2 linked regions of the Canis lupus familiaris genome follow. The protein of the gene in region 1 purifies or fractionates together with the protein of each later gene. This does not show direct contact. Links are inferred from orthologs where the notes say so. Each region holds a gene or a part of one and is shown in the gene's direction. Other genes may lie near its edges.

Region 1 (4,179 bases):
TGTCCGCGGCCACACGTGGGTCGTGCCCTGGGAGCGCGTCTAGGCGGGTGTTCCCGGACCCGCGCGGGGCGGGGCCTCGGCCTGAGAACCCGACGCGCCCGACGCGTAACGAGAGGCCCTCGGCGGCCCCCGCGGCGCGCTGCCTTCCGGTGCTCGCGGGACCCGTTATCCGCCTCCGGACCGCCGTCCCCGGGCCCGCGTGACCCTGCGTCAGTGTCGCCGGTGAAGTGAGCGCGAACCGGGCTGGTGCAGACCGGCTTCTGGCCGCCAAGGTCCGCATCTCACCTGGCGCACTTGGCTCACTTGTACACACCTGTACTGCTCACCTCCTGGTTTCGAGGGGCAGGGGGTAGGACCCGAGGGCGAATCGCATGCGCGGGTCCGTTTGGCCCAGTGCGGAGAAGGCCGGCACCGCCTACCTGGACGCGGGCGCGCACTTCCTACCCCTTTGTTCCAGAAGTTGGGGGGCGTCCTTGGGGAGTGGACCCGGGACCGTGCGCACGGAGGTGTGCGGGGGAGCCAGGCTGGGTCTGCGTTCTCAGACGGAGGATCGAGCGCAGCTGTCTGGGTCCGCGAGACCCGGTAGGCTGCGTACGCGCTGGCAGGGCCTGGCCGGGACCTGGGGGAAGTCTTGTTCGGGGAAAGAGGACTAGGGGTTCCCAGAAGGCGAGGGGGCACGGCACTCGCTGGGAGCGAGCGCGAAGTGCGCGATGCTGATGCAGGTGCCCGCCGCCCCGTGCCGAGGACCCCGGTCTAGGTCGGGCTCCCGCGCGGTGCCTCTCCTCTACGCGGGTCCAAATGCAGAGGGCGCGCGTGCGAGGAACCGGAGGGAGCGCGACGCCCGCCTGCGGAGTCAGCGCCCCATTGGCTCCCCCAGACCTAGGTGGTACCCAGGGGAGGCGGGGTAGGGTTGCCCGATGCAGCTGAAACATCTAGGGAAAACGAATGCGCATTTACACAGGTGCATATGCACTATTACATATATGGAGAAACACGTTTATATGTAAATATATTTACATCTAAGTGTTTATATATAGGTACACGTGTAAGAGTAAATACACACGGGACACCCATTTACATTTGAATTTCAGATAATTGGGTACTTTTTTTAGTATAGATTTGTCCCATGAAGTTTTAGAAACATTTGTCCACAAAAATGGTTCGTTGAAAAAAAAAAAAATGGTTCGTTGTTCGTCTGAAATTCAATTTGAGCGCGCGCCCAGCGTTTTTCTGGCAACCCTGGCGGGAATGGACAGCGAGTCAGGAAGGAGGGCGGTGGGGCGGGGCCGCCTGAACTACAAGCCCCACAATGCCGCGCGGGCACCCGGGGCCCTGATAGGCTGCGCCATGCTTCCGCTCTCCGTCACTTCCGGCCGCGGAGGTAGCGGTTGCGGCCGTCCCAGCTGCACAGAAGCGCGCGGCCCCGGGGTCTGCGGTCGCCATGAACTTCTCCGAGGTGTTCAAGCTCTCCAACCTGCTCTGCAAGTTCTCCCCGGATGGCAAATACCTGGTGAGCGGCGTCGGGCCGAGGAGGGGCAGCTCGGGGGGCCGCGGGTACTGGCCTCAACGAGTGGTCCCTGGCGGATGCCTGCAACCGGGGCCCGGGGCAGGGAGGGGGACTGGGGTGGGGACCCGGGGTGGACACCGGGGAGGGGGACCCGGGTGGACACTGGGGCCGGGGGCCGGGGTGGGGACCCGGGAGGGGGACTGGGGTGGGGATCCGGGGTGGACACCGGGGAGGGGGACCCGGGTGGACACTGGGGCAGGGGGCCGGGGTGGGTACCCGGGGCAGGGGGCGGAGGTGGGTACCCAGGGTGGACACCGGGGCAGGGGGCTGGGGTGGGTACCCGGGAGGGGGCCGGGGTGGACATCGGGGCGGGGGGGGGGCCGGGGGGGGTGCCCAGAGCAGGGGGCAGGGAGACGGAGTGGATACCCGGGGAGAGGGACTGGGGTGGATATCCGGAGCCTGGGTGGATACGCGGGGCAGGGGACTCAGGCAGTCCTGCTCTAAGTCCTGCTCTAAGCAGGGGCCCCCAGGAACTGGACTTGGGCAGGTGTGAGCCTCCCTGCACCTCAGTTTCCATCTGTCAGAGGCAGATAATGGCAATGCTGTCTCCACACATTTGAGGATACGGAGCATATCAGCTCACTGTTGTTATTTTGACGCATAAAGGCAAATATATAATTCCGTTGACTGGACCCTGGTACAGTAGTGCAGCTGCGTTGTCTTTCCCAGGCTTCTTCCCCGGTCTCTACCGTGTGCCAAATAAGTGGTTGAAATAATAGTGTTCTATGTCCAGATAAATGGAGTTGTCTGCATTGCTTTTATTTGAGCTGTTAGGATTTGAGCTGTTCATTACCGGGCGAGAGAATGGTGCTGAAGTCACCGAGCTCCTCTGGACAGGAAATGGAAGTTTTGAAATGTACCAATATCATCAGTGTATATGCTTAGAACCTTGGGTGGGGGAGGCGGTAGGGGGGATAATTGACATGGGAAATCCATTAAGAAAAAAATGATGCCTTACAAAAGGGCATTTGGTTCTCTATATGAACTTATTGATGCCTTATGATTCGTTTTCAGATTGAGGCTTATTAACATTCCTGTTATTTGTCTAGCTCTTTGAGAATATAACTCCTTTATGGAGGCATTATTCTAAATCATGTAAATTAGCATTCAGCTTAAAAATACATAATGTCTTCTGCTTAAAGTTCACCCCAGAAACCTTGGTGTATTTTTCAAAGTGCTCCCCATATATTGGTTTTATAAAAATCCCAGTAAATTACAGAAAGAGACTATATATTAACTTTCTTTTTGTTGCTCTTTGGGCTTCTACACTCTAGTGAAAATATAGCAAGAAGCTTGATAATAATGTTACTGGAATCCTGTTCTTCAAAGCTCTCCTAAATCCTGAAGAAAGTAGGTCTGTGTTGCTATTTTTAATATCTTGCAACAGATTTTTTTTGAAGATTTTATTTATTTATTCATGAGAGACACAGAGAGAGGCAGAGACACAGGCAGAGGGAGAAGCAGGCTCCATGCAGGGAGCCCAACGCGGGACTTGGTCCTGGGTCTCCAGGATCAGGCCCTGGGCTGAAGGCGGCGCTAAACTGCAGAGCCACCCGGGCTGCCCCCTTGCAACAGATTTGATGTGTTTTTACAGAAGTTCCATTTCATAAGGAGTTCATTGTAACTGATTGCAAAGCTACAGTATGACCCATGCTTGTTCTAATCTGCAGTTGCCCTCCCCTTTCCTTTTTTTTTAAAAGAGATTTTATTTGAGAGGGAGAGCACAAGCAGGGTGAGGGGCAGAGGAAGAGGGAGAAGCAGGCTCCCTGCTGATCATGACCAGGACCCTGGGATCATGACCTGACCTAAGCCGAAGACAGATGCTTCACCGACTGAGTCCCCCAGGCACCCCTCCCCTCTCCTTTGGACAAGGACAACTCATGAAGCCTTTGTAAGACGTCTATTCATAGACCACAAACCAATAATCTGGTTTGATCTTGATAAGGACCAGAAGGAAGCCGTTACCGTTTAAAAATCAGTTAAACTGTGGTATAATCTATAGTCAGCAGATGAGTAAACTCAAATTGTTTGCTTAGATGTGGGTATTATTAACAAGTATGACCATAAACTGTCTTCAAGAAAACAGTGTTGACTCTTGAACATTTTGCTAGTCAGTATCCAGAGTAAGGCAGTGCGGCTGTGAGGAAAGCATCTCTGCTTCTCCCTCCTATGCCAGGAAAGTGTGGTCCTCACCCCATACGTCTCCTTTGCTGTCACACTGCTGCTACACTCACTGCACTGCTGACACTCGCGGTCACGTTTGCCAGAAGCGGGGTGTTCCACAGCCCTTGAACCTCCAGGATACTAGTGGGGTGTCCATTCTGGCACTGTGTGCCTTGAGCCCCACAGGTGGACTGTGCCCACCCCACCTCACATGCCAGCCACAGTAGCAAGCCTTCAGGTTACACACAACTTCTGTCTCACTGGACTGCGAGTCCCACATTCCCACAGCACTCTCGGGTTTGATGACTCTTCCAGAGTGGCTCACAGAGCTCAGGGAAACAGTCGCTTGTGTTTGTGAGTGTGCTAAAGCATATGATAAAAGAGACAAGTGACCAGCCAGATGAAGAGATACGTAGGACAAGGTCTGGGAGGGTCCCGAGTGCAGGAGC
Region 2 (4,177 bases), on another chromosome or scaffold:
GGATAAACTCCAGGGCAATTTTATAGCATCCAGACTTCTCACATCTAGGAGACAGGAATTGACCTCTGTACCCAGGCTCTTCCTGTGTTTCCTCTTCTCTTCTGGGGAGGGATGAAGGAGCTCTTTATAAAAAGTATATTCTCTTGTGCATATACTCTTGTCACAGCTGAAAAGGATGGAAAGAAGTTGGCATGATTATTCCCATTTTGTAGGTGAGGACTCTGAGGCTCCAAGAGGACTACTAACTTATCTGCTCAGGATCATGCAGATTTGCGGGGGGGGTGGGGGGGGTCTGACTCTGCAAAATGCAAAGCTACTGATTCCAAATTGCTGTTCTTTCCACCAAACTGAACTGTGTTCATGTCGTTCTGCTGGATGAACTACTCACCGAGATGGCTATCCATTTATAATCACTTCGGATCCCAGGGCTACCATAACGGAGCTCATGAAGCAGCCTTACAAATGTGAGTCTCACATGCCAGGTTGTTGAAAGAACTGTGCAGCTTTTTGGCACCCCCACCAAGCCCTGAAGTAAGGGTAACCTGAGTGGTATCCACCGTCGTCCTAGTGGCAACCACATCTATCTTGTAAAGAGAAGTAGCAAAGACTCAGGAGGCCACTCAAAAAACAACTTTGGTTGGACCTGTATTTCCAAGTAAGAGAGAAAATAATCATACAAGAAAGCAGTTTACATGATGAGCAAAGCATCTTCCAGGCAACACATAGCCTCAAAAGTGTTCTTTCCTCCACACTAAGCCCCGAGGGTCTGAGAGTGCTCCCCAACGCAGCAGCATGGGGCATTATATCTTAAGAGGTTAGGGACGCGTTTGGACTGAGACTAGACCCAAGCTCAAGCCTCAGCTCTGCCATGTCCTAAGTATTTGAGCTGAGGCAAAATAGCTCATCCTTCAGCCTCTGTTTCATCATCTATAAAATGGGAGAATAATTGTACCTGTGGCAAAGGACTGTCGTGACAGTTAGATGCGCCGATGCATACAGGCAGCACGCTAGGTATGCAAAGTGCTTGCTTACAGACATAGTAAGCGATTCATAAAATCAGTTTTTAGTGCTCTTTGCCAGAGTCTTCCTTCTACTGAGCTCCTGCTGTTCCCCCTGAAATGCTCTCTATTAGGGACTCTGTTCAGAGGGCAGCTCATCAGCAGACCTTCCCTGGCCACCGCACTCAGAGCAGCTCGTATCCTCCCTCCTTGCTTTAGGCTTTCCATGGCACAGATCACTCCCACATGCCATATCATATATTCGTATGTTTACTTGTTTATTGTCTGTTTCCATTAGAACGCCAGCCCCATGATGATGGCACCTGTATTGGGTTCACTCCTGAAGTCTCAGTGCCTAGAGCAGGGTCTGCCGTGTGGAGGGGACCAAGACCTATGTACGTGATGAAGGCAGGTGAGTAGAACACATCTCTTCTGAATAGATTGTGATTCCATACTGTGGTGCAACCTAAAACCAGATGCAGGAGCAGTTGTATATCTGGGACAAGCCTCCTGCAGAGTGCCTGAGAAGGCCTGAGCCACTGAGGTGCTGAGCTGTGCTCTAGTGAGCCCTGCAGCCCTGGAGTGTAAAGCAATCACCGTGCCAGGCTGCAGGGGATCGGAACCGGCTCAGCCATTTTCTTTGCTCCGAAAGTTATAGCCTGAAGTGACTGCCAGGGGAGCTCCCTTCCCTGGTATGCTTCTCTTCCTCTTCTTCCTCCTCCTCCTCCTCCTCCTCCTCCTCCTCCTCCTCCTCCTCCTCCTCCATGCCCTCCCTGGGGATTCATGACTGGGAGTGCAACTTCCTCAGGGACAAAAAAGCATGTCTTAAAAGTAACCTGTGGCAATGGATAGTTCACTGCTTTTAAACTCACAAATTATTTTTTCACTGCAGTACACAGCTCAGATCATGATTTTCACTAAGTAAAAGCAAAAATGGGTTTTGCTCTTGGCTCTCCCTGGTTGCCGCTGAGGTGCAGCCACCTGTTTTCCTGATGCTAGGGCCCCAGGGATGGCACCTAGTGGGGAGAGGTAAGGGGGCCACGTGGACAAAGAGCTGCCTCCTTAATGCTGCTGCCGCCTGGGGAAGGCTGGAGTAATGAGGGTCAGTGGGCATTAAACATTCCGGCATTGCCTCTCCAAGGTTTCACGTTTCCCATGAAGGTCCAGGTAGAGAGTGCATTGGACGTGATAAGGCACCTCAGAACTACTAGTGGAGATTGATTTTTTGAGACTCCTCAAAAGGGCATGGAGTTTTTCCTAAAGTTCAAGGCACTTTCAGAGATTGTTGATAAGCAGATGTGTGCTTCCCAAAGCCTGCATAGAGCAGAGGCATCAAGCTAGAGGAAAGAATTAGATAAAATAACAAGTAGCAAAAAGGAGAGCATGCTTCATGAACTCTAGCTTGATCTTACTAGCAGATTCTAGAAGTTGCCTTTGGTCCTTATCTGTGAATTGTTGTCTATGACGTAGACACTGTTTTTCCGTGTTAATATATATGCTAATGTAACTATATACAATAACTCCTGGATAGGGCACGTAAATGAATGCAGTCATTAAGAACTATATTACCTCGGGCACCTGGGTGATGTAGTTGTTAAGGGTCCCACTTTTCATTTCGGCTCAGGTTGTGATCTTAGGGTTGTGGGATCAAGCCCTCTGTTGGGTTCCATACTCAGCGTGGAGTCTGCTTGAGACTCTCTCTTCCTCTGCCTCTGTCCTCCCCACTGTTCTCTCTCTTTCTCTAAAATAAATAAATAAATCTTTTTTTTTTTTTTTTAATGAACTAGATTACCCCAAATCATGCATTTGGGTGCAGGTAAAACCCAAATTATCATGATGATGTAAGGTAGGCCCAGAAATGTGCAGTACAAGTGTTTTTCCTTAGCCATTTCATGGAAAATCACAAGTCTGTGGCCCACGGGACAAATCTAGCTGGATGTCCTGGGTGATGTTCAGGTCTCTGGCTGTGGATGGGCTGCTGCTTCTTTTTCTTCTATTGATTTATTGTAGCCCCTAACTTGGAGTGTTTCTTAAATAAACATAGCTTTTATTGAAGAAAACATCTATCTGGGATTTCCTGGGCAATTGTGCCAGAAGAGTGGGCTTTTTCTGGATGACTATACTCTCTTATGTATGGACAAATACAGCTATGGACAAGTATAGCTCCCACCATGGAAAATTAGGATACTGGAACTATTGTCCTAAGCCCTGGAGCTTGAAGAGCCCGATTCATGCCTCAGATGCTGGTCCTCACTAGACTGGGTAGGCAGACATCTGTGACCACCAGGACTGAAGCCTAGCAAGCAGATGGAAGAGTGTATGGAAGATCTACACATTATGACTTTCATTCCCAAACAACTGCTGGTGGGGGGAAGCTTTTCTTCCCACAGAGGAAATAGCAGCTCCTACTTTGTGCCCCCACTGAATCCAATTGTTACTTCTGACATGTCACCTGCAACATATTATACTGATTTCCACCACCCCTGCCACCTATACTGCCCTCCATCTAATGTCTTCTTGAGGACCCAAGGGTTCCCTGAGCCTGGCACAGTGCCTGGAACATAGTGCTCAATAAAAGGTGGTTCACTTATTTGACTGAGGACCCTTCTCCCTGAAGGAGGCAGGGAGTATTTATATGCACAGGGATAGCCCCTGCCTTACAGTAAAATACAGACAAATGCATGATGGAAGGCCAGGTGTGTAAAGAACTCTGACATGGTAGCTTAGATCCAGAATCCTTACAGAAATCTCTTTATCCAACCCCAAGGGTCAGGATGGCTCAAGTAGCTGGGATTCAGTTGAGCCAGAATGATGGAGTGTTTGTTCCTCTTCTGCATGGTCCTCCATAGAATCCTTGGAGACAGAAACTTAGTTCTGCGTCTCAGCCCATTGATAGCAAGTTCACCTTTGACAGTGATTTAAAATCCCTCAAGACTCAGATTATGTCCAGCTGCTAACCCTGTGGCAATGCTCCTGGTGTGGAAAGAAGTGCACCCAGTGTTGCAGGTTCGTGGCTTCCTGGGGCTTCCTTGATTAAGGAATGTATGCTAATGGTGGCAAAGAAAGGAATAGTCTTGCAGAAGAAAGACAGAGTGCCTTGGAGCCTGAGTAGCAACCAAGTTTCTTTTATTATGGGACTTCTTGTCCGGTCAGCTTCAGGACCTGTGAAGGCTGTTACT

The links.
Region 2: the proteins of WRAP73 (region 1) and SSX2IP purify together in Homo sapiens (co-immunoprecipitation; 4 studies listed by BioGRID and IntAct, counting the BioPlex papers as one, with this or other methods). This does not show direct contact. The link is inferred for Canis lupus familiaris from reciprocal best matches to the Homo sapiens genes WRAP73 and SSX2IP.

The regions. Positions count from the first base shown.
Region 1 is NC_049226.1:58,647,688-58,651,866, reverse strand, and holds the start of WRAP73 (WD repeat-containing protein WRAP73), read left to right. Parts: upstream 1-1,352; 5' UTR 1,353-1,441; coding exon 1,442-1,510; intron 1,511-4,179.
Region 2 is NC_049227.1:63,688,372-63,692,548, forward strand, and holds the start of SSX2IP (afadin- and alpha-actinin-binding protein), read left to right. Parts: upstream 1-1,321; 5' UTR 1,322-1,410; intron 1,411-4,177. UniProt on the Homo sapiens protein: Belongs to an adhesion system, which plays a role in the organization of homotypic, interneuronal and heterotypic cell-cell adherens junctions (AJs).